Linked DNA regions of Macaca fascicularis. The protein of the gene in region 1 binds, or shares a complex with, the protein of each later gene. Links are inferred from orthologs where the notes say so. Each region holds a gene or a part of one and is shown in the gene's direction. Other genes may lie near its edges. The genes, in order: RBMX2, CWC15, PLRG1, SCNM1, CWC22, SNRPD1 and RNF113A.

Evidence for each region.
Region 2: RBMX2 (region 1) and CWC15 share a complex: the UniProt entries of both Homo sapiens proteins name them as parts of the minor spliceosome. The link is inferred for Macaca fascicularis from reciprocal best matches to the Homo sapiens genes RBMX2 and CWC15.
Region 3: RBMX2 (region 1) and PLRG1 share a complex: the UniProt entries of both Homo sapiens proteins name them as parts of the minor spliceosome. The link is inferred for Macaca fascicularis from reciprocal best matches to the Homo sapiens genes RBMX2 and PLRG1.
Region 4: RBMX2 (region 1) and SCNM1 share a complex: the UniProt entries of both Homo sapiens proteins name them as parts of the minor spliceosome. The link is inferred for Macaca fascicularis from reciprocal best matches to the Homo sapiens genes RBMX2 and SCNM1.
Region 5: RBMX2 (region 1) and CWC22 share a complex: the UniProt entries of both Homo sapiens proteins name them as parts of the minor spliceosome. The link is inferred for Macaca fascicularis from reciprocal best matches to the Homo sapiens genes RBMX2 and CWC22.
Region 6: RBMX2 (region 1) and SNRPD1 share a complex: the UniProt entries of both Homo sapiens proteins name them as parts of the minor spliceosome. The link is inferred for Macaca fascicularis from reciprocal best matches to the Homo sapiens genes RBMX2 and SNRPD1.
Region 7: RBMX2 (region 1) and RNF113A share a complex: the UniProt entries of both Homo sapiens proteins name them as parts of the minor spliceosome. The link is inferred for Macaca fascicularis from reciprocal best matches to the Homo sapiens genes RBMX2 and RNF113A.

What each region holds. Positions count from the first base shown.
Region 1 is NC_088395.1:136,676,463-136,680,761, forward strand, and holds the start of RBMX2 (RNA-binding motif protein, X-linked 2), read left to right. Parts: upstream 1-1,499; 5' UTR 1,500-1,563; coding exon 1,564-1,568; intron 1,569-1,779; coding exon 1,780-1,895; intron 1,896-3,346; coding exon 3,347-3,398; intron 3,399-4,299. UniProt on the Homo sapiens protein: Involved in pre-mRNA splicing as component of the activated spliceosome. As a component of the minor spliceosome, involved in the splicing of U12-type introns in pre-mRNAs.
Region 2 is NC_088388.1:93,949,601-93,953,100, reverse strand, and holds part of CWC15 (spliceosome-associated protein CWC15 homolog), read left to right. Parts: intron 1-1,010; coding exon 1,011-1,129; intron 1,130-3,500. UniProt on the Homo sapiens protein: Involved in pre-mRNA splicing as component of the spliceosome. Component of the PRP19-CDC5L complex that forms an integral part of the spliceosome and is required for activating pre-mRNA splicing.
Region 3 is NC_088379.1:159,465,751-159,469,826, reverse strand, and holds the start of PLRG1 (pleiotropic regulator 1), read left to right. Parts: upstream 1-1,276; 5' UTR 1,277-1,362; coding exon 1,363-1,371; intron 1,372-2,745; coding exon 2,746-2,852; intron 2,853-3,135; exon of another isoform or gene 3,136-3,207; intron 3,208-3,831; coding exon 3,832-3,974; intron 3,975-4,076. UniProt on the Homo sapiens protein: Involved in pre-mRNA splicing as component of the spliceosome. Component of the PRP19-CDC5L complex that forms an integral part of the spliceosome and is required for activating pre-mRNA splicing.
Region 4 is NC_088375.1:110,052,990-110,057,287, reverse strand, and holds the start of SCNM1 (sodium channel modifier 1), read left to right. Parts: upstream 1-1,498; 5' UTR 1,499-1,507; coding exon 1,508-1,558; exon of another isoform or gene 1,559-1,607; intron 1,608-1,832; coding exon 1,833-1,903; intron 1,904-2,259; coding exon 2,260-2,348; intron 2,349-2,445; coding exon 2,446-2,543; intron 2,544-2,650; coding exon 2,651-2,739; intron 2,740-3,754; exon of another isoform or gene 3,755-3,773; coding exon 3,774-3,968; intron 3,969-4,298. Other genes in the region: LYSMD1 (lysM and putative peptidoglycan-binding domain-containing protein 1), read right to left, coding at 435-614. UniProt on the Homo sapiens protein: As a component of the minor spliceosome, involved in the splicing of U12-type introns in pre-mRNAs. Plays a role in the regulation of primary cilia length and Hedgehog signaling.
Region 5 is NC_088386.1:75,564,267-75,568,561, reverse strand, and holds the start of CWC22 (pre-mRNA-splicing factor CWC22 homolog), read left to right. Parts: upstream 1-1,495; 5' UTR 1,496-1,535; intron 1,536-4,295. UniProt on the Homo sapiens protein: Required for pre-mRNA splicing as component of the spliceosome. As a component of the minor spliceosome, involved in the splicing of U12-type introns in pre-mRNAs. Promotes exon-junction complex (EJC) assembly.
Region 6 is NC_088392.1:68,147,116-68,151,122, reverse strand, and holds the start of SNRPD1 (small nuclear ribonucleoprotein Sm D1), read left to right. Parts: upstream 1-1,207; 5' UTR 1,208-1,323; coding exon 1,324-1,337; intron 1,338-4,007. UniProt on the Homo sapiens protein: Plays a role in pre-mRNA splicing as a core component of the spliceosomal U1, U2, U4 and U5 small nuclear ribonucleoproteins (snRNPs), the building blocks of the spliceosome.
Region 7 is NC_088395.1:126,232,984-126,236,146, reverse strand, and holds RNF113A (E3 ubiquitin-protein ligase RNF113A), read left to right. Parts: upstream 1-1,465; 5' UTR 1,466-1,571; coding exon 1,572-2,606; 3' UTR 2,607-2,663; downstream 2,664-3,163. Other genes in the region: NDUFA1 (NADH dehydrogenase [ubiquinone] 1 alpha subcomplex subunit 1), read right to left, coding at 1,172-1,273. UniProt on the Homo sapiens protein: Required for pre-mRNA splicing as component of the spliceosome. As a component of the minor spliceosome, involved in the splicing of U12-type introns in pre-mRNAs. E3 ubiquitin-protein ligase that catalyzes the transfer of ubiquitin onto target proteins.

The sequences.
Region 1 (4,299 bases):
GGTCCAAGAGCAGGTACTGATGTGGACATGTGCAAAATGGATTCAAACTGTCAATATGGGTTAAATCACATATTATATGTTAATCATCTCTTCCACTGGTTTCTAGATATTTCTGGTTGAAATCTATCAGGCAAATATATCTTGTCCCCTTAATTATAATATTAGCTCCTTGAGGGCAGAGGACCCAACCTGATACTCCTGTCTACAGACCTTAGCTGCACAGGACAAATCTAGATGTTCAGTAAGGACTGATTGAATCAACCTGACCTACTGGGTGCAGGTGCTCTAGTACCTTTCTAGTTAATTTATTCATTTGAGCCTCATTTCTTCCTCTACAAAACGAGGGTGGAAATTTCTTTTACTTTCTCTTTCTTTTTTTTTTTAAAAACAAGGAGTCTCGCTCTGCTGCCCAGGCTGGAGTGCAGTGGTGCGATCTCAGCTCACTGCAACCTTTGCCTCCCAGGTTCAAGTGATTCTCCTGCCTCAGCCTCCCGAGTAGCTGGGATTACAGGCGTGTGCCACCATGCCTAGCTAATTTTTGTATTTTTAGAGGAGACAGAGTTTCACCATGTTGGCTGGGTAGGTCTTGAACTCCTGACCTCAGGTGATCCACCTGCCTTAGCCTCCCAAAGTGTTGGGATGACAGGTGTGAGCCACCACACCTGGCCCCCCCTTTTTTCCTTTATTTTAGAGACAGGTTCTGCTATGTTGCCCAGGCTGGTCTCAAACTCCTGAGTTCAAGCAATCCTCCTCCCTCAGCTTCCCAAAGTGCTGGGATTACAGGCATGAGCTGCTGCGCCCGGCCAGGAATTGTAATTTTATCTGCTTCATTGGGTTGTTGTGAGGGTGGAGAGACAATACATGTAAATTGCTTAGCACATACTCTAGTATCATACAGTACATCATCTGCTCACTTGCTAGCTATTAATTTAACAATATTAATTTCTGTCTCCTGCTCAACTAGGAGAGAGCCTATGGAAAAGAGTAAGTGCAGCGGCTCTCATGCAAATCTGTAGGTATTCAATTCAGCCTATAGAGGCACACTGGTCTGTTGCCTATGTATTGGGATAAGAACAACAGAAGATTTACCTTTTCACCTATCTTCTTCACTTTTCTGCCATGACAGGGATGCTTTGATGGGTCTGTGCGTGAGCAACTGACTAAGAGCGAAGGTCCAAGTGGGACTCTGGACTGGGAGCGAGGGCTGAGACTAAAGTCGCCACATCAGGCTGCTTATTCCGTTCATTCAGCAAATATTTATAGCTAATCTAACCAGTTTCCGATATCGTTCAAGAGCTGGGGGTCCTGCAACAGCCCAGGCTCGTGCCTTTACCCCATTTCACAGAGGAGAAAAAGCGAAAAATTAGAGAAAAACCGTTTCTACAAGAGGTAACCGCAAAGAACGCGGAAGGCTTCTAGTGCGCAGGCGCCACGCCCCGGTACGCCCCAGCTCTTCCGGCGCGAGGTCACCGACTCGACGAGCCACCGGCGCCGGGGCCGCGCATGCGCGGCGCTGCCTTTCCCGGGCGCTGATTCCTGAATGCTGAGCGCGAGCCCGCGGAGATGAAGTAAGGCGTCAGCTTCCTTTTGAGGAACGAGCAGCGGGCCGCTGAGGGTGGTCTACTGGGGCTGGGGTGGTAGAGCGTCTGCGGGGTCGAGGGGCGGGAGAGGCGCGGGGACTAGAACACCTCGTCCCCTTGTTTTGCTCTTCTTCAGCTTCGGCCGGTTAGCATTTACTTGTCTGCTTTTCTGCCTCCCCTCACCCCCGCCACCGTGAAGTCCTTTAACTAAGGTGAAGCTGATCAACGAGCTGAATGAACGAGAGGTCCAGCTTGGGGTGGCCGATAAAGTGTCCTGGCACTCCGAGTACAAGGACAGCGCCTGGATCTTCCTGGGTGAGGTGCACATCTTTCTTCCGCAGTGCTCCCAAGATTCTCCTGCTCGGTGTCCGACTATTTCAGCATTTTCACCCTTCACTCCTGCTTACATTCATTGCCCTCCTTTATATCCATCTGCTGTCTGCCCGGGAATCCGTGTTCCATCTTTTTTTTTTTTTTTTTTTTCTGCCCCATTTTTAGTTTTCCTTCCCAGCCAAATCAGTGCTCATGAGAGTTACTGTTTGCCATTTGCTGTGCTAAGGTTCAGGGACTGTTGTTATTTCTCTCTCACCCCCTGACCCGTTATTACAGCTGAGGAAATTGGGGTGCAGAGAAGTTAAGGGACTTCCTTAAGGTCACATAGCTAATAACCGCAACAGGCAGAACTATAGCTTTCTAGAACTCATGGTCTTAGCCACAGCCCCATATTGCTACCACCGCCCTCCCCCATTCCCCTTCCCTTGCAGAATTCACTTTGCTCCTCTAGCTCCTGCTTTCTGACCATGGCCACACTACCATTACTGTATTCACTTTATATCACAACCAGTAATTGTACAAGTTTGATGCTTCAAAGAGGTTATTGTAAAAACGTTGTGCTAAGCACTTTATATGCATCGTTTTATTTAACTCTTATAACAGTCTTGCGAGTTACCTGCTAATATCCCCATCTTACAGATGAGGAAAGAAACATTTGGAAGGGAAATTATTCCCTAGGAAATGCTTAACAGTGTCTTTATAACCTTTGTCTATGTGTAGGTGGGGTTAATCATGACATATGTAGACTAATTTTGTATCATAGCTGTAAATTTGTGGGTAATGAGCAGATGAATTCAACATGTTTGTGGAAGCAGAGGTTTGTGATGGAAACTATCTGCTTTGCCCATAGGATTTTGGGTGCCAGGAGGACTGAGTGATCAGTTTACTTTTGTTAGTGGTGACACTGACTTCCACTCAAAATTAGTCACTCCTTTTCCTGTTCTACTGGCACCTTACATGTACTTCTGTCATTGCATCAGACTTGATTTCTTTCTTTCTTTTTTTTTTTTTTTTTTTTGAGTTGGAGTTTCACTCTTGTTGTCCAGGCTGGAGTGCAGTGACGTGATCTCGGCTCACTACAACCTCTGCCTCCTGGGTTCAAGCGAGTCTCCTGCTTAAGCCTCCTGAGTAGCTGGGATTACAGGTGCCCGCCACCTCGCCCGGCTAATTTTTTTTGTAGTTTTAGTAGAGACGGGGTTTCGCCATGTTGACCAGGCTGGTCTCGAACTCCTGACCTCAGGTGATCCACCCGCCTTGGCCTCCCAAAGTGCTGGGATTACAGGCGTGAGCCATGGTGCCCAGCCCAGACTTGATTTCTTTAAGGGCAGGGCCTGTTGCTTACTGTTTGCACCCCTAGTGCCTGGCCTAGTGCATGGTACGTAGTAAACACTTGGTAAATGTTGGTGGAACTGAAATGTGGTTTTCTTTTCTAGGAGGGCTTCCTTATGAACTGACTGAAGGGGACATCATCTGTGTGTTCTCACAGTAAGTCCCCTTTCATTTCCTGCCTCCTGAGTCGACAGAGTACTTTTTTCTGTAATGCATTTTGTGGCATCACAAAAACCACTTATTTTCACTCTAGGCTGAATGGTGTCCCTGCATGGGGAGGGCTGGAGCTTCTGCTCTAGTCTAGATCAGTCCCAGGACATGGTTCTAGAATGTTCTCCTGTGGGAGATCCAAGAGGTTTGTTAATTTGGGAGGCCATCTTGGGGATTCTAGTCTATTTCTGTTGTTTTTCACTGAGGTTTGTTCAGCCTGGGCCTAGACTGGAACAGACTGGAACCCTCAGGAAGGTTCCATATTGGTACGCCTCCTTGGGCTCTTGCAAACTAGGGGTAACCCATGGTCACAGGGCCCTTCTGGTCCTTGCCTGTGTGGCATCATACGACTGGGGCAAACCACAGAGGAATTGGGATGAAAAACAGAAAGAAGGTTGTAGTTTGCTTTCTTTGATTCTCAATGAATGTAAGGTTAGTGAGCAAAGCCAATCTCTACCTGGAGGCTGAGAATCACAGCCTGACGAGGAACAAGAATGAATAGGAGATCTGTATATTCTTCATTCTGCTGAGGTGTTGGCAGCAGCATTTGGTGGGAGAGGGTGTTGGTGGCTCATACTGGTAGTAGCAGCTAGTAGGAGAGGGGCTGGGCAGCTGGCCTGCAACCCCAGAGGTAAACAGCACAGTTAGTCCACAGGGCCAGAGGATCTTGGCACAGGTGCAAAGGACCACTACATTTGGGTTTTGTAGGCCTTCAGAGCATAGTACTGTTTCAGAGAAGTTGGACAGCATGTACAGGTAGCAGACCATGGCAAAAGGGGCTGGCCAAGCAAACACAGGTAGCATACACTGGCAGAGGGATTGCTATGGCAGGATGGTAGGGCCATCC
Region 2 (3,500 bases), on another chromosome or scaffold:
GGATGATTTGACTTTGAAGAAGTTGATGCTAAAATAAAAGTGAAGAAAGACAGTGTTGTAACTGATAAAGGATGGGAGGTATAAAAATAGAAACTGAGGCCGGGCGCGGTGGCTCACGCCTGTAATCTCAGCACTTTGGGAGGCTGAGGTGAATGGATCATGAGGTCAGGAGTTCGAGACCAGCCTGGTCAACATGGTGAAATGACATCTCTACTAAAAATACAAAAATTAGCTGGGCATGGTGGCGCATGCTAGAGGCTGAGGCGGGAGAATCAATTGAACCTGGGAGGTGTAGGTTGCAGTAAGCCGAGATCATGCCACTGCACTCCAGCCTAGGCAACAGAGCGAGACTCCGTCTGAAAAAAAAAAGAAAAAGAAAAGAAACTCAATAATAAGTCAATAAAAACAAAATAGATCAGCCTCAGGTAAATTAGTAGAAATTCATGTTAACTGGATATAATTTTGTACATGGTAGTTTGTCCTATTTTAGGAGTTTTCTTCATTAATAACTTCTCACCAAACCTAGAGACGCAAGTTTACATTATTAGTAATTCAAAATAAGATTAAATTAAATCACAGTTATGTATGACCCTTTAAAATTGAGATAATAGTTTTGCTAAATGTGTCTTTTTGATATTTAATATGTTCTTAAATTATTAGAATATGCTTATTGATATACGCTTAAAATTTAAAGCTATTAATTTTACATGTACTTCAAGAAAGAAAATAGATTTAAATATGAATCTCTAACATTTCACAGTTGGAAGAGACTGATATCAACCATGAAATATTTATAATAAAAATGCCAACTTATTTTATTTTGATGAGGGAGACTTTTCTAGTATGCCTCAAAAACCAAAAAAAAAAAAAAAAAAAAAAAGCCTGCCTTGATGCTTTTCTTGCCGTAAAATCCCAATGATCTGTTTTTTTTTTTTTCAGTGAGCTAATATAAAAAAAATTGAACCCAGAGTTAAAATAAGTAAATACTAATCTTCCTTTATCATTGACAGGAACAAGAACAAAAAGCTGAAGAAGAGAGGATTCGTATGGAAAACATTCTGAGCGGAAACCCTCTCCTTAATCTCACTGGCCCATCGCAGCCTCAGGCCAACTTCAAAGTTAAAAGAAGGTACTATACAGTAACGGAGTAATGAAGTGTGTGTGTGTGTGTGTGTGTCTATATGCACAGGCATGCAGATTATAAGTTGGATAGCAAGGTGCATTATATGAAGCTTCTAAAAGTCCACCGTTCGTTCACGGATACTCTTCTCTGTTCAATTAGGAATAATGGAAGAAGCTAAATGAAAGAAAATTAACTTATTTTCAGTAGATAGTTGCAATAACCAGCTGTGTACCAGATAATGATGTAAGCACTAGGGACAGAGTAATAAACTGAGGCCCTTACATTTTAGGTATGCGTATCAAGGGTCCCCAAGATGGCCTCTCACATTCAGACACTCACTGGAAGAACTCAGGGGACTTGGCATATAGTTACATGCTTGGCTAAGGTAATAAAGACACACAGCTAGATTATAAAGGGAAAAGACACACACGGAGAATGGATGAATCCATGCGCAGGTTTCACTATGCTCTATCCCTTCCATGAGTGGTCACACAGCACATTGTTTCCCCCAGTGCAGCAACGTGTGCAGTGCTGCTGCCCAGGGAAGCCCATTAAAGATCCCATGCCCAGGGTTTTTACTGGGCGTGGCTAGTCATGTACGCAGCTTTTGCTTAGCACATAGCAAAATCCAGACTCTTAAAAGGACAGTAGGTGTTCAGCATAAACCACATTATTTGTAAATTGTAGGCACAGTGACAGTGAGAAGATTTCTTAAATCCAAATTTTCAAATGCCAGCCAGGGGCCAACCTTGGAAGCAGGCATTTCTAAGGATTGTGGTCCCAGGCCTGCTTTTTAAATTCTTTCTGTACAGTGTGTGTGTTTGGAGGGGTAAAAAGGAGGGCTGAAAAGGGAGGAAGTATAAATTGTAAATACTGTAAATCCTTCAGATGGTGATATGTAAAATAAAACAGAAAAGCTTACAGGAAATGTTGAGGAAGGAAGAATGGTTGTTATTTTATATGCATTCATCAAGGAAACACAGTGCTTAACTTTTAAACCATATTCGTTATTTTTCACCACCTCTACTGCTATTATTTGCCATCTAGAGTGATGCAGTACTGCTACCCGCCCTCCCCTCTGGAGTGATGCAGTACTACTGACCGCTTTCCCCTCTGGAGTAATGCAGTACCGCTGATACAGTTCTGGAATTAGTCCAAGCTGGAGATAGTAGATTTGGAAGTTATCAGCTCAGATAAACTTTCTAAAGCCATAACACAGGATGAAATCACCTAGGGAAGGGTATAGCTAGAGAGGAGAAGTCAGAACTGAGCTTAGTATAATGTTTAGAGGTTAGGGAGATGATTAGTTACCAATACCTGTTCTAATCATCTACCCAACCTCTAAACATTATACAGGTGCCTGATAAATATTGATTGAATGAATTTTGAATGAAAAAGTCTAGGCTGACAAGCAGCAGCCAGTTGGGAAGAGAGGAGAACTGAAAGAAGTGAAACCAAGTGTTTCAGGAGGAGAGGAGTGATCATTTAGGACAAATACTAATGTCAGGAAAGAGCATTTTGGTGTTGGGAAGGAGGGACAAAAAGCCTGTTTGGAGTTGAGGAAAGACTGGATACAGAAAAAACTACTGATTATATATAAAAATAAAGCTATATAGTTTGTTTTTTTGCTTTTTTTGAATGCAAATGGAATTGGAGACAGAAACATGTCTTATATCCCAGTCATATTGATCTGCTCAGCTTCTTATGCTTCTCTGTATACTGCATCAGTGATGACTTTACTGCACTATTTTCCAAAGGTGCCCACGTTTGTTGCTCGTTGTGCAGTTTCCCACATTTGTTCCCATGTGCAGTTTCTCCTGGCATGTAAGCGCATACACACATACACACACTCATGATATGGGTTTGTGTTTTATGTATATTTGTGAGGGTATCTATATTATGTATATGGGCAGCTGTTTTATATGCTAGATGATATTCTGAAATCATGCTCTTTATTTTCTATAACACATGTATTTTATAACTTACTTATGGATTTTTTTTTCACACTTATACCTTATGGAATCCAACCAGAGTTCTGCCCTGAGTTCTTCGGCTGGTACTTCTCCGTGGTTAACGTACATGTGCGCCATATCTGAGCCTTAATTATTACACCCCAATGATTGCTTCTCCTTTTGTTGGCCTGTAATGCAAATATTACAGTAGATGATTACTAAACATTAACTGATAAAAGAGGAATATCTACAATCCTCAAAACCACATAATCTAAACTACATTAAATTGATTGGCTACTATCATCTACAAATGCCTATACTAATATTAGGGTAGTCCTAGGTGCAGCCTCTTTGTATTAGACCTAAAAACATTAAATATTTATGCAATTAAAATCTATGTATTTCTATTTTTTAACTCAAAAGTT
Region 3 (4,076 bases), on another chromosome or scaffold:
CTGTAATTCCTGCACTTTGGGAGGCCGAGAGGGGCAGATCACCTGAGGTCAGGAGTTTAAGACCAGCCTGGCCAACATGGTGAAACCCCGTCTCTACTAAAAATACAAAAATTAGCCGGGCGTGGTGGCGGGCGCCTGTAATCCCAGCTACTCCGGAGGCTGAGGCAGGAGACTCGCTTGAACCCAGGAGGAGGAGGTTGCAGTGAGCCAAGATTGCGCCATGGCCCTCCAGCCTGGGCGACAAGAACAAAACTCCCTCTCAAACAAACAAAAAACCATGACCTTAATGTTTTTAATGAATTTCCAAGTGACGTTGATTTACACTGCTATTCTTTTGCTAGATTGTTTCCCCCTCTCAAAGTGTATGCAGTACGCTGTCAGGACAGATCAGTGAAACTGAAACAGGGCCAGTAAAATGTTTTGTCTATTTAAGTTTGCAAATGCCCAAGTCCATCCATTTTTCTTTTTACATAGAAAAATAATTAGGTAGGGTTGATCAAAACCGGAGATTTTACCAGGGTAGGAAGCAAAAATACCAATACTTGGCACAAGGATATGTATAAATAAAAATGGCTAAAGTCTCCAATTGTGTCTTTCTTCTACCAGCTTTGAAAAGCTGTACCCTGGCATTGTTGAAGCCACAATAATCAGCAGACAACTAGGAAATGTCCAAGAGCTATGTAGCGTTGAGAAGTTAAAAAAAAAAAAATCTATTAGCAGAAAATGAATATGGGTTTTTCTTATATCTACATGTCAAAATTTTCCAAATTAAAACAGCCATTCCTCAACATTCACTCAGCAAGTGTTTACTGAACTGTTTAAGCGAAATTGTTTTCAGGTGTTAAGCCTACAAGTGTCCAAGTGCTTCTCGCCAGGATTGGAACCAGGAGACAGAAAGCAAGCAGGCGACCTCCAAAGAGATCAAGGCAGCGGAAGCGCCTTAGATAGAGCCCACGGGAGTTTGCTCTCCAGAGAGCTTAGGCTCTCTGAATAAAAAGCATTAAACTCCGGGGAATACAGCATGAACAACCAGGGCCCCAGCCAAGACATTGAAGGCTGAAGGTAAGGCAGAAAACATAATTCGAAGACTTCTTCAGAGGAGCGAGTGAAATCCTCCAGTCAGGCGCTTCCAGGTGTCTCCCCTCTACAGCCTCGAGCCTCCGCCCTAGGGGCGGTCCTGAGGAGGGAGACCCGCCTCTTGATCCCAGAGGGCCGGGGGAGACTAGCGCGCGTGCGCAGAGCTTGCATCACATCCGCCGCCTGGCCTCCCAATTCCGGAAGGTGCAGCACAGTTGTGGCGGCGGGTACTGCGTTAGTGATTAGGGTTTCTTCTCTGCCGGAGGTGGGATACGCGGTAGCATCATGGTCGAGGTAAAGTGACACTGGGACTCTCAAGAGTCGTTTGTCTCTGGACTGTTTTTCTTTGGCAGTGGGCTTGGGGGATTGAGAGTGCTTGGAGTCCGGAGAGAAAAGAGGCTACGAGGGAAGCTGTTTGGCCAAGGCCGGGTGGTCTCTTCATCGGGTTTTCGGGGAAGGGGTAGAAGCCGGATGAGAACCCGAGTCGGAGGTTCAGTCCGGGCGCTAAGCCTGAGATAATTCGTCCAGTCCTCGTTTGACTCTTGGGAGCTGGAAACTGTCCTTGGAGGCGGGGCCTCTGTTGGTGTTCGACCACTGGTACTCGCCGCCCTCGGGGCAGTGTCAGTGATTCTGTGCCCGAAAAGATTGGCGGTCTTCTCTATCTTGCGTTCAAGTCGTCTCTTATTTCAACTCTACTCCCAGAAAAACTTGCCATTCTTTACATCTTTCCCTGGCATGAACAGCCAGCCATTCTGTTAGCTGGTCTTGTCCATGTTACCCCACATGTTTATTGATTCCATTCACTTTTCTCCGTATCCACTGCAGTCCACCTTAATTGAGACCAACATCATCTTTCACCGGGCCTGGTGCATTAGCCCCCCGTTGATTTCCTTGCTTCCATTTTGTTCCATAAGTTGTTCTGTTTAAAATGTAAGTTGTTCATACCTTTCTTGTTTAAAACCCTTTACTGACTGTGTTGCTAGAAGAAAACATAGGCTGTTGTAATAGTCTAAAATACCTTACCTAATCTGGACCTTGTCTACCCTTGCAACCACAAAGCACCATCTCATCCACCATATACAGCTGTGCCGCCCTTCTTGTATTATTTCAGTTAACTGAACATTTTTTTACATGACATTTCCATCAGCCTGGTTCGTTTTTATCTCTGTTTTGTGCAAGGCTAACTCCCTTTCTGCTTAAATATCACTTTAGTGAAGTCTTTCACAATTATACTTAGTCCTTCGTTTCCCGACCCAGTGCCTTGCTTGTTGCCCTCATAGCACTTATCAAAATGTGGAATTATTTTACTTTTTATTTGTCTGTTTCCTCTTGAGCACAGGGACCATGACTACCTTTTATCATTCTATTGTGAGATTCTAGCACGATACCTGCCAGACACACAGTAGGAGCTCAGTAAATATTTATTGAGTAAATGACTAAACTATGGCATCACTCAGTTGCTATACCTGAGGTTCTAGCCAAAGAGGAGCTTCCTCCTCTTCTCTGAACTTGACTCCTGTAGCTCGCAACAAGTAGCTATGGTGAGTGGTATAAAGCTTTTTACATATTTAAACATGTGAAGTGTATAATCAATCTGACGTTAGGTTATGATTTGTGTAATTTGTAGATAGGTGTGTAATTACTTTTTTTTTTTTTTTTTTTTTTAAGGAGGTACAGAAACATTCTGTACACACACTTGTGTTCAGGTCATTGAAGAGGACCCATGACATGTTTGTAGCTGATAATGGAAAACCTGTGCCTTTAGATGAAGAGAGGTTGGTATAGTTTTTTTTTCAATTGCTGAAATATTTAACATTCTAATACTGGGGGAAGAGAGCAGGAAGAGGGAGACCTTTAAAGATAAACTGGCAATACTCATGGGCTAATTCAATAATGAGTGGTGTTTTGGCATAATTTAAGCTGATTTAACTTTTTTTTTTTTTGGCCTTTTACAGTAAAAGTTCCATTAATTAATTGCATTTTACAAATACCCAGTAATTAAGAGAGTCCCTTTTAGGTATTTTATTTTATAATCAATCACTTTGTATGTGCTTTCAGCTTCCCGCTGCTCTCAGAGCCTTGCTGAGCTGAAATTGTACCTGGCCAGTACCTCTACTCCCATCTTTTCTCGTTAGTATGATGAAGATTTTTGAGTGGTGGCATATTTTTGGTTCTACATATCCAGCTCCAGTCTGGGATTGCATTATGTGCAGTGTTCCTTCTTTGTCCTTTACCCTTTTAAAATCGACTTAACTCCTCAAACAAGCATTTATATTTAATTTGTAAAGTAGACTATTTTTAAAAGTAATATAAGTGCATTTCTTTTTAAAATATTGAACCAATTAAGTACTTTTCTTAGTTCTAACTAACCTGTTTGGATACATCTAGTAAAGGTTGCTGTAGAGTTTTTACTATATTTATATTTTGAAGGAAAGCGTATTGACTTTGAGGTTTCTTAAAGGGTATGTTAGTTTCTATATATCTTTCAAGCAGACCCTTGATAATTTATCATAAAATATTTTCTATTAGGTAACAAACTAAAATATTACTTAGGTTTAATGAATGCTGTGTGGTGGAATGTGAGCAAAAGAACAGATATGGTGGGGAAATGCACTTGGAAATTTTTGATTCTTTTAAATACTACTTAAAATCTTACTAGAAACTTTTCCTACATGATTGGGCAAACTTAAGCTGTCTAAGTGTTTGTTTTAAAGTATTTATGGATACGTTCTTATGTTTATAATTTCTAAATAGTCACAAACGGAAGATGGCAATCAAGCTTCGTAATGAGTATGGTCCTGTGTTGCATATGCCTACTTTGAAAGAAAATCTTAAAGAGAAGGGTCCTCAGAATGCAACGGATTCATATGTTCATAAACAGTACCCTGCCAATCAAGGTGAGTATGGTATTATCAGAAATGTCAGACGTATGTGTGAATTTTAAAAATAGAAAAATAAAATGTGTTATTTTTGCCCCTGCTGGCAGGACTTAGGTGTGG
Region 4 (4,298 bases), on another chromosome or scaffold:
ACTCTCAATGTAAAATTTTCTGTGTGGTTTACAGAGTCAGACAGACCTGTTTGAATCCCATATCTGACAATCATTATTTGACCTTAGTCAAAATGGTTAACCAATCCAAGTCTCAGTTTCTTCATCTGCCAAAAGGGAACAATAAATGTATACTTGATATGGACGTGAGGGTGAAATGAGCTAACGTATGTGAAGCCCCTAGCACAGTGTCTGGCATGATAAAATAGGAGCTGTTCCTCTCCATTGGAATAGTAGAGCAGAACTTGTCCCAACCACGCAGTGCAACACTGTGATGGGAAAACAAAGATAAAGGCAGAACAGAGTTCAACACATTAGGAACATTTCAGGGGAGGTTACCTAGAAGGTCCACTACATTCTTCTCAGGACTAAATCCCTCCTGACTCTTGTCTGCACCCCAATCCTGGAAAACTCACCGTCACCCCATATTTGAGTGCTAGTCCAGCCAGGGTGTCTCCGGGCTCCAACTGATGCTCCAGGCGTCTTTCCCTCACTGGGGAGCAGGCCGATTGCACCAGGCTTCCATATGAACGAGCCCGGCTCCCGTGAAGCAGTCCTGACCCCCCTGGCGGGGGCTGTCTAGACGGGGAAGCCATCTCTTCACCCTGCCGACAGCTAGGTTGCAACTAGGGGAGGCCCGACCGAGACTGCGAGTGACAGGCCTGAAGTCTGGGAATAGATATTCAGGGGATTCCTTTCCCCTTCTCTCTTCCCCTGTGTCCCCGCCTCCCCAGCACTACGCCACCTGCCCCCTCCCGGTTTCTCCTCCCTCCAACTCCTTATCCACAAATCTGTCCCTTGAGTATTCAGTCCCTCCCTGATTCGCCCCTAAGCACCCCTCCGACTTTGAACTCCCCCACAACTCCTCGCTACATTGACCTCTGACCTTTGAACTCTAGAAATAATCCTCAACACTCTTTCCTCAGTTTGCCCCCAAGTAGCCTGGCCTCAGGGCGCTCCCACATCCCAGCTCTGCCCGGTCCCGGGGTTTGTTTGCTAGAGCCAGGAACAAATCAGGCCCACCCCAGGTGAACTGTCGCCGCAGACGAAGAGCGTGAGGATTGCGAGAATTTGTAGTACACCTTCCACTCAGAGATCCTCACAGGTCCGCTCCGCATCAGATAGGTCACACCCTCAAATTTCGGCTCCACATCTAGGTTCTTGTCCCTCTAAACGCCTCAGATCCACCAAGATGCAAGGGCCTGGATCCAGCTGAGCGGCAAGGTCTTTGAGGAAAAGACTTCATTTCCCAAAAGGCGTCGCGTCTGCAGAGTCGCACGGCACCATAGGAAATGCAGTTCCCTCCACGCGCCAGAGAGTGGATATCCGGATGGCGCAATGCATGCGTGGAAGTGCATTCCCGGAAGTACGGGGGCCGACAGGAAGACAAAGAGAAAAGAGAAGGCGCTGTCCCGCTCTTGCTACGGTGGCCTAGAGGAGTGGCGAAACCGGAACAAGAAAATTTATCACTCTGGGACTCACAGTCGTGATGTCTTTCAAGAGGGAAGGAGACGATTGGAGTCAACTCAATGTGCTCAAAGTAAGCGTGAGCGGAGAGGATCTGCAGCCTCTTCAGTCGCTCTCTGAAGGTTGGGAAGGAGCGTTGTTTCATTGCTCTGGCAACAACTCGGGGGTGCAGGAGAGAACCAGGCGACTTAGAGCTGTGTAGTGACTCCTTTTTCGGTCTATGATCGCTGTTCTCCCCAGGGTCCTTATGTCCTTATTCCGTTTGACTCCTCATTTCTGTCATTTAACTTCCATCCCTCTCTCCTATCCTGCTGATCCGTCCGGATTTCTTCCCCTACTCCCTGCAGAAAAGAAGAGTCGGGGACCTCCTCGCCAGTTACATCCCAGAGGATGAGGCGCTGATGCTTCGGGATGGACGGTAAGAGCGAGGAGTGGCTCAAGCCTGAGGGTTTTGCGGTTAGAGGCTCAATAGCTGTGTTGCCCAGGCTGTCCTTGAACTCTAGGGCTCAAGTGATCCTGCCTCCTCAGCGTCGCGATTAGCTGGGATTACAGGCGCACGCCACCACGCCCGGCTTCAACAAACTTTTGTTATTAATTAGGACAGCAGAAGTATCTAGGATTCTTTGGCGGCTAGTGAGGACTGGAAGAAGTGGAGATTGGGTCACCAGGGAGTTGGGTTTTGCAAAGACTGCTAGGACAGGGTGGGACTTACGGCAGGGACAGGCCCAACCCTCTTCCCCTGGACCAGTTATCCTCTTCTCTACCCCTGCTCAGCTTTGCTTGTGCCATCTGCCCCCATCGACCGGTACTGGACACCCTGGCCATGCTGACTGCCCACCGTGCAGGCAAGAAACATCTGTCCAGTAAGTTCGGGGGAAGACAGGGGATGGGGAATAAATCGAAATCTCTGCACACCAGCCTTGGTGCTATGCTTTTAATTCTGTTTCCCTTTCTCTTCAGGCTTGCAGCTTTTCTATGGCAAGAAGCAGCCGGGAAAGGAAAGGAAGCAGAATCCAAGACATCAGAATGAATTGAGGAGGGAAGAAACCAAAGCTGAGGTAATCAGAGAGTGGAGAGTGTGTTCTAGGCAAGACCCTGCTGCACACACCAGGCTGGAAGGGCAGAGGGCTGAAGGCTCTGACTCTGTCTCCCATCTTCTTACCAGGCTCCTCTGCTAACCCAGACACGACTTATCACCCAGAGTGCTCTGCACAGAGCTCCCCACTATAACAGTTGCTGCCGCCGGAAGTACAGGTATGGGAGGGGAAAGCCAGAGGTAGGAAGGCTCGGAAGGAGATAGAGGGCTCTGAAAGTGTTTTCCAGTCTGTATTCTGAGGAATACTAGCGTTCTGGAGATGTTACTTAGTGTTTCAAGAAAAGGAGAATTTTGGCCGGGCACGGTGGCTCACACCGGTAATCCCAGCACTTTTGGAGGCTTAGGCGGTGGATCACTTGAGATCAGGAGTTCAAGACCAGCCTGGCCAACATGGTGAAACCCCGTCTCTACCAAAAATATAAAAAATTAGCTGGGTGTGTGGTGTGTGCCTGTAATCCCAGCCACTCAAGAGGCTGAGGTGGAAGAATTGCTTGAATCCGGGAGGCAGAGGTTGCTGTGAGCCAGGATCATACCACTTCACTCCAGCCTAGGTGACAGAGTGAGACTCCATCTCAAAAGAAAAAGAAAAGGAGAATTTTGTGATTTTTAAATAAAGTTTGGGAAATGGCACTTTGTAATTCTACTTGAAGAGTAACAGTTTTAGGCCGGGCGCAGTGGCTCAAGCCTGTAATCCCAGCACTTTGGGAGGCCGAGACGGGTGGATCGCGAGGTCAGAAGATCGAGACCATCCTGGCTAACACGGTGAAACCCCGTCTCTACTAAAAAATACAAAAAACTAGCCGGGTGAGGTGGCGGGCGCCTGTATCCCAGCTACTCGGGAGGCTGAGGCAGGAGAATGGCGTAAACCCGGGAGGCGGAGCTTGCAGTGAGCTGAGATCTGGCCACTGCACCCCAGCCTGGGTGACAGAGCAAGACTCCATCTCAGAAAAAAAAAAAAAAAAAAAAAGAGTAACAGTTTTAAAAGCTATACAAAGTCTTAAGAATTAAAAAAAAAACTTGTAAAATTTAAAGCTAGCCTTTCCCAAATTCATGATTCTAAAATCCTTTGTATGCAGAACTTACTAATATCTTGAAAAATATAGTTTAAGAAACACTGTTTTAAGAGGTTGGGAGTCATAGGAGAGTTGGCCCTTTCCCTTACTGCTTTTACAGACTATTCTTCTCTACCTAGACCAGAAGCCCCTGGTCCCTCTGTCTCCCTTTCTCCTGTGCCACCCTCAGAGGTCGAACTCCAAAGCGGGAAGATCAGTAGGGAACCTGAACCTGGGGCTGGCCCACAGGCTGAGGAGTCAGCAACTGTCTCAGCCCCTGCACCCATGAGCCCCACAAGAAGACGAGCCCTGGACCATTATCTCACCCTTCGAAGGTGAGTGTGCCTAATCAGTTTCCTCAGATTTTCTTTTCTCTCTGACCCTTCTTGTTTCAAAGCTTTTTTTTTTTTTTTTTTTTTTTGAGACGGAGTCTCGCTCTGTCACCAGGCTGGAGTGCAGTGGTGTGATCTCATCTCAGCTCACTGCAACCTCCGCCTCCCAGGTTCAAGCGATTCCCCTGCCTCAACCTCTCGAGTAGCTGGGATTACAAGCATGTGCCACCATGCCTGGCTTATTTTTTGTATTTTAGTAGAGGCGGGGTTTCACTACGTTGGTGAGGATGGTCTCAATCTCCTGACCTTGTGATCCACCCACCTCGGCCTCCC
Region 5 (4,295 bases), on another chromosome or scaffold:
TTCGCCTTTTCACGTTTTTCTGCCCGCTTTATTTTCGCTGGTACCTGATTAGATTGTTCCCACCAGATTGAGGGTGGGTCTGTCTTCCCCAGTCCACTGACTCAACTGTTTGACAACAAACAGTTGTCAACAGTTTGGCAACACCCTCACAGACACACCCAGGATCAATACTTTGCATCCTTCAATCCAATCAAGTTGATATTCAGAATTAACCATCACAGATAGTATTGTGGGTTTTTAAATATATAAATACAAATGTTCATCTCCAGATCCATCTCCTGTGCCCTGTATTGGTACACCAAAGTGCACCATCAACAATGGCCAAATATCTTAAATATGAAATAAAATAGATAACACTATTGTATACTAGCAATTATCTTAAACGTATCTTGTGAATCAACTAATTCAATTCTTACAACTACTGCATGAATGGGTACTACTAGTATTTCCATTTAACAGATCAGGAAACGGCCACAGAATGTGAAGTTACTTGCCCCAATCATCCATAAATAATCAAAGGACTCAAGATTCAAACGTAAGTAGTCCAACTGCAGTGTTTTTATTCTTAATTCTCACACTTTGCCTCCAGAAAGGAGTGGAAGCACAGCACCCTAAAACTGTAATAGAGAAGTGTGTGGAGAAATCAGGCCTGGTTTATGAAAGATTTGATAACATAAAGATATTCTTGTTTTAGAAAGAGAGTTTCCAAAATAGTAAGTAGTTGAACTTTTACGTTTTGTTACTAGTGAAAAGTGAAGTTTAAAGAAACAATTTGTTTGATGCCCTAGTTCTGCATGCTGTACAAACTGCTACTTCCTACTCAGCCAGGCAATCTCCTTATTCTCAGGTCATACCAGTTGGTACCTTACCTTAAAAGACAGGCAACATAGTCTCTACAGAATTATTTTTTCCTCATTATTTCACTCTATTTATGATCTAATATTCTCCCATTCTCTTGGCTTGGATGTCTTGGAATTTATTAGGCACTTGACTCTTGGTCAAACTCTTATAAAAAAAAGTCTCAAGAAAATCTCTCACTTAAGATTTTCAAGGAAAGTGACAACTGACTACTAAAAAAAAAAAAAAATTCCCAAAATGCAGTGAAATACTTTTAGATTAAAGTAAATTTGCCTAGACCCTAAACACTGCTAGGCTGCCAGTCAGCAGCGTGGATGTTAACTCGCTGGCGCGCATCTGTATGAACTACAATTCCCATCGTACACCGCGCCATTTCACCGCTAAACTACAATTATGCTTTCGTCATTTCCGTCAGCACAGGTGCTGGATTTCGGACTTTGTAGTTCATGCCAACTTCTTTTTAGTCGCCATTTTGATAAGAATACAGTGTGCCTGGATCGACTGCTTTGACTCTGGCATTATGATATGGTATCTGAAATAAATTAAAAGGATAACGCGTCAAGCCAATTGAGCGTCAAGTTTTTATGTATTTCAGTATCTGCCTTGTTCCTACTGTCGGTGCTCGGGAAGAGGAAGTGACGTACATCCGGTGTAATGGCGGCGCGGTGCAGCTTTAGGTAATTATCGAACTCCGCGGAGTCCCCGTAGGCACCGAAGCGGAGCGGGGGTGGCGGGTTGTCGGGTCGGGTGGGAAGTGAAAGACCCTGAGGAGTGGGTGCGGGCTCACTGATACGGCTGTGAGCGGCATTGGAGTGTGCGTGGGTCTTCCCGCCACGCTCGGGCCCGCGAGAGGGGTGTGAGAGTGGCTGGGTCCGAGGAGTCCAAGCGGGTGGGGAGCGAATGGGCTGCGGTGAACTGACTGACTGCCTGAGCGGACCGGCTGACCTTCCTTGTGAGGTTCCTGCAGCTGTCTGAAGTCCTGCACCAACGCTGGTGCTCTGTTGTTTCGTGTGCGGTGTGTTTTATACTTAGAGCCTCTGGAGTCCATTGGGCTTGCCAAAGCCCCTTTCCCAGTGCCTGGGGAGTGGGATTAATGAGCTCTAGTTGATTAAAAGTTAGTTGAAGTACTTGCACTCTTATGCCTCTTTCCGGCGTTATATCCCTTTGGCTATTTGTTTTACGTTTCATTAGCGGTTTCTTTTTCATTTATTTGCCCTGTAAATACTGATAGTTTCTAGAGTTTAGTTTTGAAGACGCTTCGCTTCTCTTGTGTCCTCTTCACCTGTCATTCTTGATCCTTACATAACTTGAACTATCTCCAATGAGGTAATAACTGCTAAACTTGGGTGTCCAGACTCCACCTCTCTAAGGAGCTTTGGGTCCTGTAACACAGCATTATAGAACGGAAATATAATCGTTAATTTCACTGAGTTTAACTGCAAAAACTACCATACCTATTTCCACTTAATCCTAACAATTCTTTTGAGGTAATTGGAGAAGGCAGGATTTGGAGAAAGGCTATTCTAGATGCAAGAATTAGGTAAGAGTTTCCTTTGCATTTTTGGATGTGCAGAGACTCGAAATAGCAGATAAACAAACAAATTGGGTCCTCAGCAGATCAGTTAACCTACCTCTTATCCGTATTTAGACTTATCTTGTTGTAGGATTGCTTGTGAATTCAGGAGTTAACACAGATTATCCTACTATGCAAGGGCAGATTTAAAATTGACATTAAAAGTGTGGTTTTGACCAGGAGAGGAGAAGCCTTGTTACAGGCCTTATCAGTAGGTTGAGGAAAGCTACTTTTGTTGGTCCTGGGTGATGGACTAGTAGACCAAAGATTTCAGTTTTATTTAGCTATTATTAGGTCTGTCACTTGGAGCAAGTTAAAGTCTCTATTATATATAGTCAGCTTCATCATCTGAAAACATGTAGGTAATAATACAATACCTGCCTCACTGTGTTGTCTTTTTTTGAGTATAAAGAAAATAATGCAGATGAGGCACTGAGCACAGTGCCTGATATACAGTGTTAGCTTTGTATTATTGTAAATTGCTACTATGATACAGTTGATGAGTTCTGTCTGTGCCTCAGTTCTTGCCCTCTGGGTCTGAGTGTTGCCTTTCCACCTTTAAGTGTCCTTCCAGGTTTTTTTTTTTTTTGAGACGGAGTCTCACTCTGTCGCCCAGGCTGGAGTGCAGTGGCGGATCTTGGCTCGCTGCAAGCTCCGCCTTTCGAGTTCACGCCATTCTCCTGCCTCAGCCTCCCGAGTAGCTGGGACTACAGGCGCCAGCCACTACGCCCTGCTAATTTTTTTTATTTTTAGTAGAGACGGGGTTTCACCATGTTAGCCAGGATGGTGTCTATCTCCTGACCTCGTGATCCACCCACCTCAGCCTCCCAAAGTGCTGGGATTACAGGGTGAGCCGCTGCGCTCGGCCAGTGCCCTTCTAGTTTTAAGTGTCCATGCCACTTTTATGGAGTCTTACCCAACTCAATTGACTGGGGCTCTGAGACCGTCTTGGTTATAAGTTAAAGGCCAAGAACTTTGATCTAATACCCTGGTCTAGTGGTTCCAAAAATGTGGTCTCCTGAATCAGCAACATCTCTTTGAAGCTTATTAGCAATGTAAATTACTGGGCTTCACCCAGTTCTGTTGAATCAGAAACGTAGAAATGCAGGCCCAACAGTTTTGTTTTTTTTTTTGGGTTTTTTTGCGCCAAAGCGTTCGAGTGATTCTCATGCCAGTTAGTTTGAAAACTTCTGCTCTAGCCCATCTTTTAGGGGCATGCTATGGTTCATCCTCCCCCTGTCCTCAGAATCAGGTTTGTTTCCCTCCTTGCTCCAAAGTACTTGATCCATGGCCAGCCAGTATTTATTATTATGCCACCACATCCTTCCCTGCTTTGGATAGATTACCTCCAATCACTTTTTGGAGTTCTGACACTTCCTAGACTACCTGGTTTTTCTAAGCGAGCTTTCTTAGCTCTATTAGCTTTCCCAGCTGTTGAATTTTTAGAAGTTAATTCTTCTGTTGGGGCGCGATGGCTCATGCCTGCATTCCCAGCACTTTGGGAGGCCACGGCAGGCGGATCACTTGAGATCAGCAGTTCGAGACCAGCCTGGCCAACATGGTGAAACCCTGTCTCTACTAAAAATACAAAAATATGTAGCAGGGTGTGGTGCTGTGCATTTGTAGCCCCAGCTACTCGGGTGGCTGAGGCAGGAGAATCACTTGAACCTGGAGGCGGAGGTTGCGGTGAGCCGAGATCACTCCACTGCACTCCAGCTTGGGTGATAAAGTGAGCCTCTGTCTCAAGAAAAAGAAGAAGAAAAAGAAAAGAAGTTAACTCTCCTTCCCCATGATTGAACATTGTTGAATGACCTACAGTGGCTTGTACCTGAGACCACCCAGAAGACAGCACGGTGACACATTT
Region 6 (4,007 bases), on another chromosome or scaffold:
GAGAGGCTGAGGCACGAGAATCGCTTGAACCGGGGAGGCAAGGGTTGCAGTGAGCCAAGATGGTGCTACTGCACTCCAGCCTGGGCGACAGAAGGAGACTCTGTCTCAGAAAAACAATAAAAATAAATTTTGAGGAGATGTTGTGAAAGATGAAGATTGAAAAGTTTGTCTTATAGATCGGAACTTAAAGTGAAAATAATCCGCTACATTGTGTGATTTTATTTTTTTATTTTTATTATTTTTTGAGACGGAGTCTCGCTCTGTTGCCAGGCTGGAGTGCAGTGGCGCGATCTCGGCTCACCGCAACCTCCGCCTCCTGGGTTCAAGCGATTCTCCTGCCTCAGCCTCCCGAGTAACTGGGACTACAGGCGTGTGCCACCACGCCCAGCTAATTTTTGTATTTTTAGTAGAGACAGGGTTTCACCATGTTGGCCAGCACGGTCTTGATTTCTCGACCTCGCTATCTGCCCGCCTCGGACTCCCAAAGTGCTGGAATTACAGGCGTGAGCCACAGCGCCCGGCTCATTGTGTGAATTGCTTCAGGTACATTAAGTAATGCTAAGGTTCCTGGCGTTGGAACAGAATTAGCATAATCCTTTGGGCTTCTCTAAGAACTTATTTTCGTTCAGTGAGGAATTTATATTAGGTGCTGCACTCACGGTGCCCTGCTATTCAGAAACGTGATGGTGACAGTACTAGTGTGTGTGTGTGTGTGTGTGTGTGTGTGTGCGCGCGCGCGCGCGCGCGCGCGACGGAGTTTCGCTCTTGTTGCCCAGGCAGGAGTGTAGTGGTGCGATCTCGGCTTACTGCAACCTCCGCCTCCCGGGTTCAAGCGATTCTCCTGCCTCAGCCTCCCGAGTAGCTGGGATAACAGGCGCCCGCCACCACATCCGGCTAATTTTTTGTATTTTTAGTACAGACGCGGGTTTCACCCTATTGGCCAGGCTGGTCTTGAACTCCTGACCTCAGGTGATACCCCCGCTTCGGCCTCCCAAAGTGCGACAGTCCTATTAATTGGATTTAACCTCTTCGAATCTCCTTCTCTTGTGGGACACTTTTCCTCTTAGACCAGCCCTCAACACCCTCAGTCGTGGCAAGGCAACCTCCAGCCGCCAGGGGCCGCAGTCGCGCTCCTCGCGACCGGAAGAGAGTGCGGCCCAGCGCAGCCTCGGCGTTTCCGCCGTGCGTCTGCTGTGCTCCGCGCGCCCTTTACGACCGGAGTCCCTGGAGTAGGCGCTTCCGGCCATTCATACTGCAGTTGGTCAGTATTCGGTTGTTGGATTCTGTGCGCTCTCGGACCCGAAGGGTGACGGCGCCGCTAGGATGAAGCTCGTGAGGTGAGGGAGTGACCAAGCAGCTCTGGGGGCTGTGGAGGGAGGGCTTGGCCCGGAGTCCGGAAGGCTGGGCTCTCCCATTTGCAGGAGGCGGGAAAGCCGCGTGTGCGCGGCCTGCTAACGGCCGGCCTTACTGCGCCCGCAGCTCGTGCTCGGGCCTGGGCTTCTGCCTGGGTCGCTCGCGGATCCCGCGTGTCTTCCAAGATACTGGTATAAAGGCCGAGCCTTTTCTTCCCGCCTAGTGACTTAGAGACTTTCAAGGTGCAGCGCCGCCTGGGAGACATCTCGCCCTTACAGTTACTGATTTTCTTTTTGAGTGGAGCTCCAGCCCTACTTAAGAGTACTTAGAAAGCTGTATGAGCTTATCTGGAAACAAACCTGTTTGCAAACTGTTTTAAATCAGAGAAGGACTTCTGGCTTCACAAGTTTTTGTTTTTGTTTTTTTTTAAATAAGACGGTGTCTCACTTTGTTGACCAGGCTGGTCTCGAACTCCTGGGCTAAAGCGTTCTGCCTGCCTCGCCCTCCCAAAGGGCTGAGATTACCGGTGTGAGCCACTGCGCCCGGCCGATTTTTAAGTTTATCTTTTGATTCTCCTTAGACTTATGATTGATTATTCTACCTCTTTCCTGTTAAGGTAAGCTTTTTATTTAGGAAAATCTCCCAATATAGGGCAGAAATTATCACAACGTAATTGTGGCTGATTACCCAGATGATATATAGTTATTCTGTTTTATTTCTTTCGCGAGAAATAGACCCTGTCACTTAGGTGAGTCTTCTGGAGACTAATTCCAAACTACCTGCGAGTAGATTTGGTTTTGGTCTTTTTCCTTGAGACTGAGCCTGGAACAGAGGCAGACGTTTCTAATAACTAAGCCATCGATTATAAATATTTAGCTTGTTTCTTTCCTGTTGAGTCAAGGATTGTCATTATCCGCTAAATAGTTATTGGGCACCTGTTACCTACTGGGCGCTGGTAATAGTATTTTTTAAAAGGCAGATCCTTGTTGGAGCTTTCTAGTTAGGGGGATGACAGACAAGTAGATAACGTTTGTTTGAAACGTTTTAAATAACACATAAAAGCCTTCAATATTCAGGGAGGAGGCCAGGCGCAGTGGCTCACGCCTATAATCCCAGCACTTTGGGATGTCAAGGCGGGCAGATCACTAGGTCAGGAGTTCGAGACCAGCCTGACCAACATGGTGAAACCCCGTCTCTACTAAAATTACAAAAATTGCCCGGGCGTGGTGGCGCGCGCTTGTAATCCCAGCTACTGAGGAGGCTGAGGCAGGAGAATCGCTTGAACCCAGGAGGCAGAGGTTGCAGTGAGCTGAGATTGGCCACTACGCTCCAGCCTGGGCAACAGAGCGAGACTCCGTTGCAAAAATAAAAAAATAAAAAATTCAGGGAGGAGTTGGTACAAAAGACAATTAAGATTAATTTTTGTTGTATTTTTATTTGAACTATAATTTTGGATAGGAAGTCATAGAATTTAAAGTGCATTTTTTAGGCTGGACGCGGTGGCTCACGCCTGTAATCCCAGCACTTTGGGAAGCTGAGGCAGGCGGATCGCCTGAAGTCAGGAGTTCAGGACCTGCCTGGCCAACGTGGTGAAACCCCGTCTTTCGAAAAATACAAAAATTAGCCGGGCGCCTGTAATCCCAGCTACTCAGGAGGCTGAGGTAAGAGAGGCGCTTGATCCCGGGAGGTTGTAGTGAGCCGACGTCACACCACTGTGCTCCAGCCTGGGCAACAAAGCGAGACTCTGTCTCAAAAAAGAAAATTACAACATTTTTTGAAATTTCTCCATACCTGCTAATCTGAATCTTAATCTACTCATAGTTCAATTTTATGTAATACACCTTGGATTTCATTTGTTCCCTTTAAAGATATTGCATGTTATGGCAATTTTCCAGTAATTTTTAATAGCTGGACTGAATCCTGTTTTGTGTCTTAGGTCAAATATAGAAAGAAAATTTTTTTCTTACCAGAGAATGTATTTTTCCTCCAGAAAATGATTGTTTGACTAACTGGTTTGCGTTTTCAGTAGACTAATTTCTGTATATCAGTTGGTAGTTGTCATCCTTATTCTCACTGTCACCCTAACCAAAAACCTGGGAGGTGAGCTTGACTTTTTCTCTCCTGATGTCCTTGACATTTGATACACTGCCAGTTTTACCTACTGCATAAAAGTGTCCCACATTTTCCTGTTTGTTTTTTGGGTTCAGATAGTGTGTTTTGATACTGAGGGACACCGTGTTATCTGACTATTTGATATCTAAGTTTCACTAAGTAGAAAGAATTCAGATACTGAAAGATTCGTCTGAAAATAAGTTGAATCCATTTGGTTCCTGGGTTCAGTTAGGGAGGGATAATTGTGTATTTGTCCTGCCCATAGTAGCCTCCTTTCGTTCCGGTCACCACCATTGAGGTTCAGGCCCTTTTTATCCCACTCATGGATTTTTGTTTTCCTTCTTTGAGGTGAATATCTTAATACAATGAAATGCAGCGTATATTTCCTGCTATTGAAAAACATAAGCACTTTTGTAACCTAAACCCCTATCAAGAGAAGTAACATTACCAAAACCTCAGTTTCCTCAAGCCTTTCCCAGGCAACCTCTGACTCCATACCCCTAGATGCAACCAATTTCTTCCACCATACATGAATTTTGCCT
Region 7 (3,163 bases), about 10 Mb from region 1:
AAAATGCAAATTAGTAGTACAAGAACAGAATCTCCTAAATAAAATCAGACCACTACACTTTAGGATTAAGTTGGTGACCGTGACTTCTTACACTATTTTAACCAACATGAATTTTTTTTCCTTTTTAAAAAAAAGAAAAAAAAAAGAAATATCTAGTTGTTGCCTTTTGGGACACTAAGAAACAACAGCTGTAGATCACACGTGGACAATCACAAATTCAAAAAGTAAGTAAATTTATACTCTGTACTCTAGAGATGATGTGAAGGGCTAAGAGGGGAAAATGAATCCTGATGTAAAACACAAGACCTTGCAGTAAATTCCTAAACGCTTGCAAGAGAAAGTGGGGAATAAAAAAGTCAAGGGTGGCCGGGAGCGGCGGCTCACGCCTGTAATCCCAGCACTTTGGGAGGTCAAGGCGGGTGGATCACCTGAGGTCAGAAGTTCGAGACCAGCCTCGCCAACATGATGAAACCCCCGTCTCTACCAAAATAAATAAATAAATAGCCGGGCGTGGTCCCGGCTACTCAGGAGGGTGAGGCAGGAAAAATTTTTTTTTTTTTTTTTGAGACGGAGTTTCGCCCTTGTTGCCCAGGCTGGAGTGCAGTGTCGCGATCTCGGCTCACTGCAACCTCCGCCTCCTGGGTTCAAGCGATTCTCCTGCCTCAGCCTCCCGAGTAGCTGGGATTACAGGCATGCGCCACCACGCCCCACTAATTTTGTATTTTTAGTAGAGATGGGGTTTCCCCATGTTGGTCAGGCTGGTATCGAACTCCCGACCTCAGGTGATCCGCCCGCCTCGGTCTCCCAAAGTGCTGGGATTACAGGCGTGAGCCACCGCGCTCAGCCAGGAGAATCTCTTGAACCCGGAAGGCGGAGGTTGCAGTGAGGGATTCTCAGGCTTGAGCCACCTCTTCTAATCTACCTTTCCGGCCCCCGCGTCGCTACTCTGCCCTAAGGCCCACTTTGATACACCCAGAAACGCTGTTTTTCACCAGAGCAGGATGTGGTTTCTACCGCGCTTCGTTTCGCAAGCCTCGGCTTCTAGGCAACCGGAAGAAAGTAGAGGGCCGGCCTCGGAGAGAGGGTCCGCAGGCTGACGGCCTCTCTGCCCACCATCCTTTTCAGAAATCAGCCAGTGGAGTCAGCCCCCGGGCCCAGGAAGCCGCCTTACCTTGCCCCCGTTAGTGAACCTCTGGATGTACGCAGTAGCCAGTCCTGGAATAAGCAAGCACACGCCCATGGCGGCGAGTCCGGGGAGAATCTCGAACCACATCTCTGCCCCGTTATCTAGGCCAAAACCCTACTTCTGGGTCCTTGAAAGGTGACCGGGCTTCGGCTCCCTTCCCAGTAAGCCCCGCGGCCGCCCGCGAGCGGGGCGGTGCCACGTACGGCTCCGGAGGAAGCGACGGGATCTGCCAGGGCTCAAGAGAGGCTGGCGCTCGCGCTCTCGCAGTTCTCTTCCGTCAGTGTCTTTTGCTTCGACTCCCGGCGGAGCGCGCGACGTGGAGTAACGCGCAGAGGCCAAGTGCAACCCAGGCAGCGACGGCCGTTTCGGAGCTCGGGACTCTAAAATGGCAGAGCAGTTTTCTCCAGGGAAGACGGCGGATCAGGTGTGCACCTTCCTTTTCAAAAAGCCTGGGCGGAAAGGGGCTGCTGGACGCAGAAAGCGCCCGGCCTGCGACCCAGAGCCCGGAGACAGCGGCAGCAGTAGCGACGAAGGCTGCACTGTGGTTCGACCGGAAAAGAAGCGGGCGACTCACAATCCAATGATACAGAAGACTCGTGACAGTGGTAAACAGAAGGCAGCTTACGGCGACTTGAGCAGCGAGGAGGAGGAGGAAAATGAGCCCGAGAGTCTCGGCGTGGTTTATAAATCCACCCGCTCGGCGAAACCCGTGGGACCAGAGGATATGGGGGCGACAGCTGTCTATGAGCTGGACACAGAGAAAGAGCGCGATGCACAAGCCATCTTTGAGCGCAGCCAGAAGATCCAGGAGGAGCTGAGGGGCAAGGAGGATGACAAGATCTATCGGGGAATCAACAATTATCAGAAATACATGAAGCCCAAGGATACGTCTATGGGCAATGCCTCTTCCGGGATGGTGAGGAAGGGCCCCATCCGAGCGCCCGAGCATCTACGTGCCACCGTGCGCTGGGATTACCAGCCCGACATCTGTAAGGACTACAAAGAGACTGGCTTCTGCGGCTTCGGAGACAGCTGCAAATTCCTCCATGACCGTTCAGATTACAAGCATGGGTGGCAGATCGAACGTGAGCTTGATGAGGGTCGCTATGGTGTCTATGAGGATGAAAACTATGAAGTGGGAAGCGATGATGAGGAAATACCATTCAAGTGTTTCATCTGTCGCCAGAGCTTCCAAAACCCAGTTGTCACCAAGTGCAGGCATTATTTCTGCGAGAGCTGTGCACTGCAGCATTTCCGCACCACCCCGCGCTGTTATGTCTGTGACCAGCAGACCAATGGCGTCTTCAATCCAGCGAAAGAATTGATTGCTAAACTAGAGAAGCATCGAGCTACAGGAGAGGGTGGTGGTGCTTCCGACTTGCCAGAAGACCCCGATGAGGATCCAATTCCCGTTACTTAGCTGTCTGATAATTCTTAAATTTAAATAATAAATATTTTGTTCTTTTGGAAGTCTTAATTCGTGTCCTTCCTTTGTAGAGACAGTGACAGAGAAGGCGGGTGGTGAAGTAGGGTCCTGGATTAAAAACCTCAAGGTAGGTATAATCAGGATTTTTAGCCCTAGGATAACCATTTTGCCTGTGTTTCTTTTCAGAACACTTTGGCATCAATTATAGGGGTGGGAGTAGTTTGAGAAAAGAGCTATAATTTGCTTGAAGTAGCCAAAGCTATGACGAAAGTAAGAACTCTGAGCCTGTTTATCATATCACATTTCTGTATCACTTAATAGTTTACAAAGTACTTTCATGCATTCTTTCTCTTGGGAGCCTGTACTACAAAATATACCGGAGCCAAGGTGTTGGGGAGAGGGGTTGCGTTTGGGGAATTGGTAGCTAGTACCACAGGCTTCACATATGGGAAATGTTCCTTGCTGTCTGGGTTATTTATTTATTTATTTATTTATGAGACGGAGTCTCGCTCTGTTGTCCAGGCTGGAGTGCAATGGCGCGATCTCAGCTC